2 linked regions of the Xenopus tropicalis genome follow. The protein of the gene in region 1 interacts with the protein of each later gene in a pairwise test. Links are inferred from orthologs where the notes say so. Each region holds a gene or a part of one and is shown on either strand. Other genes may lie near its edges.

Region 1 (6,984 bases):
CCCCAGGGCCAAACGATCAAATAATTTTTTTTTTACCTAAACTCTCCCCGATATCGCCCACCCGTAGGTGGGGATATCGGGGGAAGATCCGCTCGCTTGGCGAGTCCGTGTATGGCCAGCTTTACACACACTTGGGAGACTTGCACCTCCCCCCTTTTATATAAAGCCATAGAGAACAAGTATATAAAAAGGCAATTTAATTAATAGAGGGTATGAAGAATTTATTGAAACAAACAGTCCAATTTATTTAACAGATCCATGTAATAAACTCTCCAAAAACCTATTCACCAACTTGATATTAGAAAGTTACCCTTCAATCCCTAAAATGTACTCTGGAAACTGTACAGTCAAACACAGTATGTTTAGGAACCACTGGTATCTAAGAGCAACTAAAGGCCAAAATCATGTTTGCCCATAGCATTTTACCAGTGCATATGGTTGCACAATTACAGTATCCATATACAGTCAAAGTTTGGTTTTTGATCTCTTCACATTCCATCATCCTGGACTGTTGGCAAATCCGTTAAAGCTCTGGCACCTCCCCAAATTCAGACATATATGAGAATGGATAATAAGTCCTCAATAGATACATGTCATTATTTGTCTAGTTTTAAAGAGGTTTTCAGATTACAGGGGGCTCTTGTTCTCAGCTGGGCCCTTGCTTACAAGTTGAAGGAAGAATTTCCAAGCAAGGCTGGGTGCCATTGGTGGTTAAAAAAAAAAAAATAATTATATATTATATATATATTATATAATATATATGTGTGTGTATACGCCAAGCGAGCAGATCGGGCCGATGCGGTTCCCGATCCGACTAGATTTTTTAACCTGCCCGATCGAGATCTGGCCGATATCAGGCCAGATATCGGTTCGGCAGGCCCGTCGGTAGTGCCCATACACGGGACGATTAGCTGCCCAATCAGTCTAAGGGATAGATATCGGCAGCTAGAATCAGCCCGTGTATGGGGACCTTAAGTCCTCTTTCACGGAGGCCTTCATTGCTATATGCTGCACATAACTTGATCCATGAGAAGTCAAGAGGCCTAATATAGATATGTCCCATATATTTTATAACCTAGGCAAATACCCCCATACCCACATACTATGTCTGTATTCCACCTCTTACAGGGAATGCCTCCTCCATTACCAATTATAGTTCTAGCTCAGGGGTCCCCAACCTATTTTACTTGTGAGCCACATTCAAATGTAAAAAGAGTCAGGGAGCAACACAAGCATGCAAAAGGTTCCTTGAAAAATATGGGTAGCTCCTATGTAGATTGGCAGCCTACAGAAAGTTCTGTTTGGCAGTACACAGTTTTGATGCAACTAAAGCTTGCCTTCAAGTCAGGAATACAAAAAGAAGCACCTACTTTGAAGACACGGAGAGCAACACCCAGTGGGTTGGTGAGCAACATATTGCTCACAAGCCACTAATTGCAGATCACAGTTCTAGCCAATTGCTAGGGTCAGATACAATACCACTTGCAACAGCCCTACAAATACATCTGCTGCCTGTAACAGGACTATCTGAATGAAATTCACAGGTTAAATATGACCCTCAGTCCAATACTCATGGGTCCCAACCTGCCAAAGGGTTCCTGTTGTTGCTTTGTATGAAATCTTTGTTCCCAGAACACTGGGTATAGTAAATATAATTGCACAGCACTGGTTTATACTCTGTAAAAATGACCAGGCCACCACCTGTATCAATATGAGACACAAGAGCTGCGCTCAATGACGCATGGAAAAAAACAAAATAGAACACTATCATATAATCCATCAATTGTACCCTTCCTCTTTGTATTTTAGAATGTCAGTCTTTTATAGTAATTGTATAATTAAGGTCGGCAATTGATAGTAGCTATCGTGCTAACTGATAAAGCCCCAAGCCAACGGTACAGTAGATCGCGGCAATATGGACATATATGAGAAAATTAGATAAAACCAACAAGCCTAGCAGTCCACTAGTTGTTATAGGTGCAAAAATAAATCAGGGCTCATTGGAGCTTCTATTACACAAGTGCATTCAGTTGCTGTTCTATGATGCTGTTATTTGTTCTGATCTTGACCCAGTTTTGAAATCGCTATCAAGGGGGGGGGGGGGGGGGGAGAGAAACAAAGAGGACAAAGTGGCCAAAGCTTATTTTTCATAATACAGGCATGGGATCTGTTATCCAGAATGCTTGGGAACTGTGGTTTTCTGGTAAGGGATTTTTTTTTAGAGCTCCATACCTTAAGGGAGCCCATACATGTACCGGTACCGATATTACCATACAAAACAAGGTTTGTAACGTGTATGGCCATCTTAAGTCTACTAAAACATCACTTAACCATTACTTATTAGGATTATTAGGAAGGGTTTTTTAAGCTTAGTTACCATCAAGTACAAAGTTCTGTTTTATTATTACAGAGAAAAGGGATTTTTTTAATCAGAATTATTTGCTTACAATGGAGTCTAGGGGAAATATCCTTCTCATTATTCAAAACTTTCTGCATAAAGGGTTTCCGGTTAACAAATCCCATACCTGTACTGCTATCTTCTTCAGCAACAAGCAGCTTACAAGCAAACACAATATGTGTGTGTGTGATGTGTTTACATTTCATACACCAGCAAAAGTCCAAATTTAAAGCCGATTTTGGTTACTGCGTTGGAATATTTGCCGGAATCTTTAGTACTCAGAATGGATGAGGTGGAGGGGAAAAAAAAAAAGAAGTTAGCCAAATCCATCATAGCAAGAATGAGATCATGCAGCGGACTCCTCTAACATCTGGCTCGCAAACAAGACCCTATCCAATGAATCTCCCCTTCTGTCCCTGCCTGTGTTAAATGCCATGTCACGCACTGGAGGCGCACTGCAGCCCCACTGTGTAGAGAGGAAGCCGCTGATGTGGTTGCAGATGAGGTTTGCAAATAGCAAATGGAGATGCCTTCACAATGTCAGCCTTGTTTCCCTCGTCAACAACCCTCACCGTTTCCAAGTGATGCCATTAAGGAGAAAAAAAAAAAAAAAAATACACAGAATCAAACGCCATACTGTTGACAAAGAAATATACCATAACATTCATGCCCACTGCTTCTGACACGGCCCCTTTGTACAAGGCTGCAGAATATAAAGGTAGCTCACATGCCACTCACACTGGGCCTATGGACATGCATATTTCATATCCACCTAGATTGCTTTTCTGCATCACTAACTCACATACAGGCTAGCACTACAATTTCTAGGATGGGATTGGGAGCACTGGTTTAACCCACACAGGCACACATGACAGCATTTCCAAGGGGAAGAAATCCCAGAAAGCAATTCATTGTGCAACCTGGGTGAATTCAATTGGATTCAATACAATGCAAGAGGCAAAAGGGTTGAGTACAATTTCCACACGACCACAAAAAAAAAAAAAGTAATTCTGTATAGATAATGAGAAATTGGCTGCGTAAATAGTGTTTATAAATAGATAGCACGATTGTTAGATGGCAAGCCCATACGTCAGATGCGTTATAACTAATCAATAAAAAGGGATAGCCATTGATTTAATGAGATACACACACAGGCAGGCAAGAGAAGGGCTGATTCCCCCCCACCATGTGTGGATCATTTAGAATTTCCATCCATTATGAAACCACACAGAGCAATAGAAAGAAACCAGAGCTGTGTATGGAAGCTTTGCAATCAGAGGGGCCTATTCCTCAAACCAAATTTTTGCAATGACTGAAGAAAAGACCCTCACTTGGCCAGAAACAAAACAAATCACCCCTCCCCCTCTGGCAGAAAGGGGCACCTCTGGAACAGATTAGATCCAATTGCTACAATATAACAAGACAGTTCCTAACATTGCTCTATTTCATCTGAGGAAGAAACCTCGTCACAAACTGAAGTGGCCTGCAAAGCCATAACGGTAAGGGCCGACCTGGGCACATACACTACAGGGAATTCTGGGAAATGTAGTCGAACCTTATGGTATGAATGCGGCATAGAATGTAGGAAACGGAATATCGCTCAGTGTCAGGGCTGAATAGGTGTGTGTGTGTGTTACAGACAGCCATCCTAGCGTTCCCATTCCTGAGAGTGCGATCCGATTTGCAGGCCTGCAGTGAGGGATGTCAGCACAGAGAAACCTTTACCCCATTCCCCCTCTGCCCAGTCCCGAAGCCGCTCGGTTACAGGCGCAGCACAAAGCAGGACTTCTACTCACCATCGTTGACAGAGGTCGCAACAACGTGCAAGCAACAATACAGTAATCCCAATGCGATTCCAGCTGCAACATCTGTCCTAGGAGACGGCATTGTGGGGGGAAAGGACTAGCAGGGGTTAAGGTGGGGAGGGGGTGCCTTGATCCAGTGCTTGGCCCTCGCCTGGCAGCCTCCCTCCTCCTCTTGATGCCTTGATATCCAGACGCCAGTGGCCACAGAGGGGAAAAAAGAAATCACCCAAAAACGTGAACAATTAAAGGAGGGAAGGTGGGGAGGCTGAGGCCAGCAGCAGCAGCAGCAGGGCTGCCAATGGGCTGCACACTCTCTATTCCAGTGCTGGGAAGGGGTTGATAAAGGGGAATGGGGGGGTTGGAGTGAGGGGGCATATGCAGTCCTAGCGATTCCCCTTCTCGCCCGGCAATAGCTGCAACCTGACTGGATATCCCCCCTGATTATGAGGGATTGAGGAATCCAGCAGTGTTATTAATGAGAAGGGGAATGGCTGGGGAGAGACTATGTGTGGGAGGGAGGGGAGGGAGGGGGCGTGTCTTGTACGGTTAGCCCGCCCCCACCAGCTCTTGGGATAAGCAGGCTGCGGCTTTACAAGGGGGGCGGGGGTGGTCTCTAACCTGTGGCTTCAATGTAAAGCTTAGTCAGGGCCTGTTTTAGGGCCATTTGCCTGGGGTCCCTGCACAGTATTGATAAAAACACATAGAAGATAATGACAGTTTGTCTGGTGTATAATAGCGATGTTCACCCTGCAGCTTTCAATGTCATTAGAGAATTATAGTTTAACAAAAGCCGGAGGGCTGCCGGTCGGTAGCTCCTCTCAGATTCCTAGGGACCCTTTTCTAACTCTGGCCCTGCAAGTGGGTTCCAGCTTCATTGGCACTTTGGTTCATTTGTAAGTGGCAAAGATTCAATTAACTAGAAAGAAATCAGTATAGCATAGGTCAATAGGAGCCCTATCGCCCTATGTAATTGTGTAACTCTCTCCTGGCTCCTTTTTCCCTGGTAATAGTGCCTTCTGCCCAGGAATCCCCTGTCCCCTCCTCCCTGCCATTCTCCAGCATTCATTCTAATGCTCCAGTAGCTGATGTTTTGTCTTCTGTTCAGTGGCGGAACTAGAAGTTACTGGCCCCACAGCAAAATCATTTCAGGGTCCCCCTAAAATGTGGGAATAAGGCATTTTTTTTAAAAAATACTACTTATCTTACTACTTATCATTCAGCGCCTCACTGGGGCCCCTATATATTCTGAGCCCCCAATAGTAGCTATAGAAACTGCAGATACAGGAGTTGTTATCTGGAAATTTGTTATCCAAAAATATTAGTGCCATTTCCAATAGTGTCCTATATAAATATATATTTGTATACAATGGACTTGCTTTTTCTATAAGACAGTGCCTGACGGTATTAGGGGCACTACTGCCATAAAGCTGGCTAGGAAACTCACCTCAGGTGGCAGTGCCCTGAGCGTTACCAAGGGTTGAGTAAAGCCACTCCTAGTGACATAAGGAGATGAAATTCTGATTCTGAGTTGGCTCTTCTATTGCACTCTTGCACTAGCAATGCAACCCCCCCGACCAGCTCTGTCAGGAAAAAGCAGCATTGACCTGGCCCCCTCAGGGTGGCACTTAACCCTGAAACAGCGTTGGGCAGTATGCTTTATAAATCCATGGAGCAAATAACCAGTATCAGTATCAGTAATCAATACTCCTGGGCAACACTGTTTTGCAATGAATACTTGCCACTTTTAATTATAACGGTTGTACTTTTTGGGCATATAGAACATGCCTATACTTTTTTGGCGGGAACACACTTTAAAAAAAGCTTATATAAAACATATATATTTTTTCACTTTTCTAGAAAAATGTTCATTAACCTAACTATAAATAAAAATTATGCATCTCTCACATCAGTCCCTGCCCCAGTCTAAGGTGCCCATGGCATACACACACACAAACTATGGTTAATTTTATCAGGAGCCAATAACCTGTGTGTATATTTTTGGAATAGTAATGCTATTTTTATATTGGAAATACAACAGAAACTCTTTTAAAACCCCAGTCCTAAGTTCTTAGGTCTCAATCTATTCCTCTGCAGAATATGCAGGGGTGTAGAGGAAGAAGGTGTAAGGGCCTAACTGATAACACAGTGCAATAAAGAGAAATCTCCCAAAGTTTTGGGACAATTTAAGTTTCTAGTTCTGCCACTGAGTAGAAGAGAATACGGACACCTAAGATCAGCACCATAAAGACGCATGTCTGGCACTTACAGTGTTGTCAACCTTAAGAGTCACCCAACAATACAATACACAAGCCAAACACATAAAATGAATCATGAAAGATTAAAATGTTCTCCTACTTGCCATCTTTTGGGAATCCCACTGTGTGTTATATCCTGGACAAAATTAGACCACTATATGTGTCTATGTCCTTGTTGCTGCTTTGCAGTTGGTTCTGCTGTGTAAATGTAAAAGTCTCTTCAACAGGGGACCACTTTGGTTGCTAGCCCTTGTAACTGCAATCACCATGGAGCTCCTGTTGGGTCTCATAAAAAGGTGGGGATGTTGAGAGTGAGCTTGTATGAGCATGTCCCTATGTGTTTTCATTTTGCATTAAGTTCTGTGCCCATGTTAAAGATGTTTATGTCCAGAAGTTAATGTTACCATAAATCTTGTTTTGCAGATTGTTGAGATAGCTGGGAAAGTTGTTTTGCTTCCAGACTGTTCATGCTTATATAAGAGGCCATGTCTGGACTTTCCATTACAGTACAATGGGAGATCTAGTT
Region 2 (6,445 bases), on another chromosome or scaffold:
AGTGACTGCATGTGTTGACCTGTAAGAGGCAAGAATAAGAAGGGAATGAATGGAAAGGGGTTTGAATGAAAGGTCGGGGGCTAATTTGTGGGGTGTAAGGGGGTCAGATTAGGTCAGGGACATTCAAGGTTCCCTGAAATAATAACACAAGCACTTGTATATGTATATATCACACAACACAGCAACAAGCCAATGCACTGTAGGGTTCCCTTTATGTACAGTTACTCTCTTTATATAAGGAAGCAGCACAGCTATGGGCACCAATATGGCCCCCTACATGAATGCTATAGTCTTGCACAGTGGAGCACACAGAAGCCTTCATGAACCTTCTTTGATCACATCCACACTGTAAGCGATTATTATGGAGACTCTCACTGATAACAGGTTAAGTTCTGGTCGACAAATTTACCAACACGTATTAGAACAAACTCAAGCTCTTTGGGCCATTATAATGTGTAATAATGTAGCCACTTGGCCAAAATGACCAGTAAGGGGTGCTGTTCTTTCATATTCATTATATTGTCATTTAAACAAATGTAAATTGCAAACGTGCTCAGAAGAGCAATCTGTAATCTAGAACATGGCAGAAAATATTGTATAATTCAACCCTCTCCTCAGAATAGTAGGTATTGTACCTGGCTGTGATCCAGGGGGTCTTCCCCCTGCACCGCAATTTTCACTCCTCGCATGCTTATCTCTAGGATACAGTTGGCCGGGGGATTGGACAGGACCGTTAGGCGGCGGGATACTGCGATCTGAAACACAAAAGGTCAATGAACGGTTAAAGCCCAGCAGAACATATTATGTAATACACAGAGGCCATGATTAACCCACAAAACATATTCTTGTAGATGATACTGAATGATGTCATCACTTTGGTGATGTCACTTGTCACCTGACTCACAGAATGTCTGTTACAAGTCACTGCTCATATGGTACATTATGCTTGTAGGTAGGATGACGGTACGGGGAGATCCCCTAACCCTTTATCATTGCTCAGAAACTGATGACTTCATGATTGATATCTCTATTGGTCTGAAGTCATAAGTCCAGTTCCCTGCTCTAGGGACATCCACCATGTGGTCCTCCAGCATCTACTGAACATCAATTCCCAGGATTCCTGAGTAAGCAGGGTGAAGCAGTTGCCCTAAGGACCCCCCAGCTCAAGTGATGGAAGGAGACAACTCACCTTTTGCATGGCGGTGCAGAGAACATCAGTCCCTTTGTGATACGGAACCTGCACAGAACCCAGAAACTTCAACCAGAACTGATCCACCCAATTAGGCGCTCGGCTTTCTGGGGGCAGAAGGAAAGTAAATAAAGCAGATCAGAATGCTAAGGGGTGCAAGAAACTGCTCTAGGTTGGTTGCCCATTGGAGCATGTGCCCATTAGAAGATCCTCTGGTCAACTGGATCAGTGGGTTATATATGTAGGTTTCCTACAGCCTTTGTTACCTGCAATGGGATCCGGCTCCTTGGTCACCTGTACGGCGTAGTAAGCAGGGAAGATCCCGCGCTCCCCAGTGCGCATGTTATATGCCTCATACCAGTAGTCCTCCGCCTGAACCTCCACCAACAGAGGGTCTTCTACCTCCAACTCCAGCTCATCGGGGTGACGGGGCATGAACCTAAAGGGAGATTGGGGGTACAATGGGTGGGGGTACAGTTAGGGAAAGCGAGGATCTAAAAATCAAAGACAGGGAGGTGATTAAACCAATAGACAGGGGGCAGTGTGAGCCAAGGAGGAAAGTGAGTGAGGAAGATCATGAGAATAAAGAAGACTAGGTGGGCATGTCACCTGAATACGGCTCGATGGGTCTGCTCCCGCTCCTCACCGTTTATCAGGCATGAAAATAACCCAAAGGACTCAGCGCCTGAGAGAGACCAATGGAATTACTTAGAGACAAGGCCTTCTACAGTACAAATACACTAGGAGACCTCCCAACACCCCTGCTTGGTCCAATACACAGACGACTCCAAGAAGAACTCACCGGTGCACCTCATACGCCCATTCATGAAGACATTGAGGAACTTTTTGGAGTAGGAGATGTCCCCGTCTGGGGATGAAGATTCCGAAAGGCACATGGACCTTCGAACCCGGTCACCTTCCCTCCCTGCACCTCCAATGTTATCTTCCTCTTCCTCCTCTTCATACTCCTCCCCAATGGCAGACTCGTAGGGGGAGGAGACGCAGTTGTCATACACAGTGCCACTGTCGCTGTCGTCGCTATAGCCCCCATAGCACTGCCTCAGGCTGACCAACTGCAATTGTACATTCTCGTCCACCACCAAGGTGTATTTCACAGAGTCATAAGATAGGCCACTGGTGTCTGAGCTGACTGAAGCCCTCTGAAGGCCCTGAGGACCTGTTCCCCTGCCTGGGCACCCTAGGTATCCCACCCCATCCTCCCCTTCCTCCTCCTCCTCGCTTATGGACAGCTGCTGACGCCCCCCATTAGTTGTGCGAACGTTAATGTCTGCGTCCGAGCTGACCGACATGCGGCAGGGTCCAGCTTGTGAGACAAAGGCTCTGTCAGATTCTGGGGGGTCCGAGCTCCTTTGCACAGGAGTCAGGAAAATCTCCTCTGTGGGCTCCAGCCTCACGTCAGTCTGGTAACGGATACGGTCTCGGTGGGGATCCAAGCGGCATCTGCTGGAGGAACGGTTGGAAGCGTCCGTGGTGCTTTGGGTGGAAGTGTGGCGCCGGCAGGGGGTATCTGTGGAGGTGCCTCGGTCTTGTGTGACAGCTGGCAGGTTTCCCTCGTCACTCAGACACACGTGCTCATTGGAGGGAGTGGTATCGCCTGGGGGCAACAGAATAAGGTTATGGAGAACATGACAAACCCCCCCAGGCTCCATAACAAATACACTTTGCCAATTTACCTGTCTTCAGTGGAGATGAGGAGCGGGACACACGATCCTGCCAACTATATTTCTTCGCCGAAGAGTTATTATTAAGGGTGTCCTACGGAAAGGAAGAACCTTATGTCTCTTGCACTTTATGAAACATCTCCCCCCATTGGCCTATTATATGTAGGCACCCACAGCAGCAGACTTGGGGGGCTGCAGGAAGCGGCCTTATTGCATACATTGGACCTATTTGGGCACTTGTATGCTGCAAATGCCACCCCCTCTCAAACTAGCAATAAACTAGGCAGAATCACCTTTTAAAGGCATAAGTTCCAGTAACTGCCCCAGGTCCTACCATATCTGGGGTCCCTTACTGCATAGTGAGGTAAGATTTGCAACTAACCACCATTGACCTTGGCCAAAACTGGACAAAAGGGCGGAGAAGTAACATATGGGAGGCGGGGTCATGACTCTTGGAGCGGGGTTGTTCCTTGTAGGGGCGAAGCCATGGCGTCAGAGGTGGTTATTGGCCAGATTATTAATTGGGTTTCACAAGACTGAAACTCAAACAGATAGTAAGACAAGATGGTGTCAGTGGAAGTTATTGTGTCCCTAGGTGTCGGGAGAAGGGGCTCTTGTATGTGTGGGATCCATTCTTAGCTAAAGGTTATGGCAGGTTGCTCAGATTTGAGGCTGGGGATCTGCAGGTTTTACCACCAAGTGTAATTCCACTTGCAGCCAGCAGAGGGTACTGTGGAACTGTTCCATTTGGTATAACTGCTTGCCTGCTGTTCCCCTACAGTTATTGATGAACACACTGCATGTTTGTTGGGCAGCATTGGGAGGGAAGCAGCCTGGGGTTCCCCGATACAGAGCTTTAGGGGTGCATTTATTAACACTGGAGACAAGCATCAACAGCGATGTTGCCCATAGCAACCAATCAGATCTTTGCTTTTGTTTTGTAACATGTAGATGACTCTTTAAATCTTATCGTGGCCCTAATATTCAGGATCCCTAATCGTTTCCAGGAAAACTCTGCCCACAATCCTTTGATCTTTATGTTGGGGGTTTCCCAGAAATGCACCTCAGTGCCCCCTGGGAAATGTAGGCTCGGTGAGGAGGTTTATCATTTAGGCATTCTCTGTGCATCCGATAATAGCACTGAAAGGGTGGGAATACGAGGGGCCGTGTCAGGCAGAGGGATCTCGGGCCACTTAAAGCCACTGCGGCCATTCTAGCTCAGCCGTAACCATGGCAACCGGTGAGCAGAGATAGAGTGAGGGAGTGACGGGCAGGGAGAGATGGCAGTGAAACTAGAGGAACCGAGGAGCTTGAGGAGAAAGAGAGAAAGATAAATGTTCAAAAAAACAGCGCAGGAGGCAGAGATGGGGGAGACAGACGGGGAAAACTGGTGGCAGAGAGATGCTCAGTGGGGTAACTAGAAGCAAGCCCCCCAATATTTCTACCAGTATATACTGAAATTGCCTTCTGCCCCCCCGTAACACAGGGATTAAAGAAGTGTGAGTAAGTGGGGGGGGGGGGGGGATAAAGGGATAAGGGGAGTGTGGCAAGTGGAGACAGATCATAATGATGAGGATACAGGATGTTCGGGTGAGGATCGCATCAATGAACCAGGCATAAAGTATGCTCCTGTATGCTCCTGTATGCCTGTGTATGCCTGTGTATGCTCCTGTATGCTCCTGTATGCCTGTGTATGCCTGTGTATGCTCTTGTATGCCTGTGTATGCTCCTGTATGCTCCTGTATGCCTGTGTATGCCTGTGTATGCTCCTGTATGCCTGTGTATGCTCCTGTATGCTCCTGTATGCCTGTGTATGCTCCTGTATGCCTGTGTATGCCTGTGTATGCTCCTGTATGCTCCTGTATGCCCGTGTATGCTCCTGTATGCTCCTGTATGCCTGTGTATGCTCCTGTATGCCTGTGTATGCTCCTGTATGCCTGTGTATGCTCCTGTATGCTCATGTATGCCTGTGTATGCTCCTGTATGCCTGTGTATGCTCCTGTATGCCCGTGTATGCTCCTGTATGCTCCTGTATGCCCGTGTATGCTCCTGTATATCCGTTTATGCCCGTGTATGCCCGTGTATGCTCCTGTATGCCCGTGTATGCTCCTGTATGACCGTGTATGTCTGTGTATGCCCGTGTATGCTCCCGTATGCCCGTGTATGCTCCTGTATGCCCGTTTATGCTCCTGTATGACCGTGTATGTCTGTGTATGCCCGTGTATGCTCCTTTATGCCTGTGTATGCCCCTGTATGCTCCTGTATGCTCCTGTATGCCCGAGTATGCTCCTGTATGCCCGTGTATGTCTGTGTATGCACCTGTATGCTCCTGTATTCCCATGTATGCCCGTGTATGTCTGTGTATGCCCGTGTATGCTCCTGTATGCCTGTGTATGCCCCTGTATGCTCCTGTATGCCCATGTATGCTCCAGTATGCCCATGTATGCTCCTGTATGCCTGTGTATGCTCCTGTATGCCTGTGTATGCTCCTGTATGCTCCTGTATGCCCATGTATGCCCGTGTATGTCTGTGTATGCCCGTGTATGCTCCTGTATGCTTCTGTATGCTTGTGTATGCCCCTGTATGATCCTGTATGCTCGTGTATGCTCCTGTATGCCTGTGTATGCCCCTGTATGCTCCTGTATGCCTGTGTATGCTTCTGTATGCTCATGTATGCTCCTGTATGCCCATGTATGCCCATGTATGTCTGTGTATGCCCGTGTATGCTCCTGTATGCTTGTGTATGCTTGTGTATGCCCCTGTATGCTCCTGTATGCCTGTGTATGCTCCTGTATGCTCCTGTATGCCTGTGTATGCCTGTGTATGCTCCTGTATGCCTGTGTATGCTCCTGTATGCTCCTGTATGCCTGTGTATGCTCCTGTATGCCTGTGTATGCCTGTGTATGCTCCTGTATGCTCCTGTATGCCCGTGTATGCTCCTGTATGCTCCTGTATGCCTGTGTATGCTCCTGTATGCCTGTGTATGCTCCTGTATGCCTGTGTATGCTCCTGTATGCTCATGTATGCCTGTGTATGCTCCTGTATGCCTGTGTATGCTCCTGTATGCCCGTGTATGCTCCTGTATGCTCCTGTATGCCCGTGTATGCTCCTGTATATCCGTTTATGCCCGTGTATGCTCCTGTATGCCCGTGTATGCTCCTGTATGCCCGTGTATGCTCCTGTATGACCGTGTATGTCTGTGTATGCCCGTGTATGCTCCCGTATGCCCGTGTATGCTCCTGTATGCCCGTTTATGCTCCTGTATGACCATGTATGTCTGTGTATGCCCGTGTATGCTCCTTTATGCCTGTGTATGCCCCTGTATGCTCCTGTATGCTCCTGTATGCCCGAGTATGCTCCTGTATGCCCGTGTATGTCTGTGTATGCACCTGTATGCTCCTGTATTCCCATGTATGCCCGTGTATGTCTGTGTATGCCCGTGTATGCTCCTGTATGCCTGTGTATGCCCCTGTATGCTCCTGTATGCCCATGTATGCTCCAGTATGCCCATGTATGCTCCTGTATGCCTGTGTATGCTCCTGTATGCCTGTGTATGCTCCTGTATGCTCCTGTA

Evidence for each region. The genes of interacting proteins can lie anywhere in the genome.
Region 2: the proteins of lrp1 (region 1) and mapk8ip1 interact in a two-hybrid assay, tested with the Homo sapiens proteins (2 studies listed by BioGRID). The link is inferred for Xenopus tropicalis from reciprocal best matches to the Homo sapiens genes LRP1 and MAPK8IP1.

What each region holds. Positions count from the first base shown.
Region 1 is NC_030678.2:139,399,091-139,406,074, reverse strand, and holds the start of lrp1 (prolow-density lipoprotein receptor-related protein 1), read right to left. Parts: upstream 4,689-6,984; 5' UTR 4,286-4,688; coding exon 4,195-4,285; intron 1-4,194. UniProt on the Homo sapiens protein: Endocytic receptor involved in endocytosis and in phagocytosis of apoptotic cells. Required for early embryonic development. Involved in cellular lipid homeostasis.
Region 2 is NC_030680.2:13,632,596-13,639,040, forward strand, and holds part of mapk8ip1 (C-Jun-amino-terminal kinase-interacting protein 1), read right to left. Parts: intron 2,966-6,445; coding exon 2,884-2,965; intron 2,805-2,883; coding exon 1,992-2,804; intron 1,875-1,991; coding exon 1,799-1,874; intron 1,629-1,798; coding exon 1,456-1,628; intron 1,297-1,455; coding exon 1,190-1,296; intron 756-1,189; coding exon 636-755; intron 20-635; coding exon 1-19. UniProt on the Homo sapiens protein: The JNK-interacting protein (JIP) group of scaffold proteins selectively mediates JNK signaling by aggregating specific components of the MAPK cascade to form a functional JNK signaling module. Required for JNK activation in response to excitotoxic stress.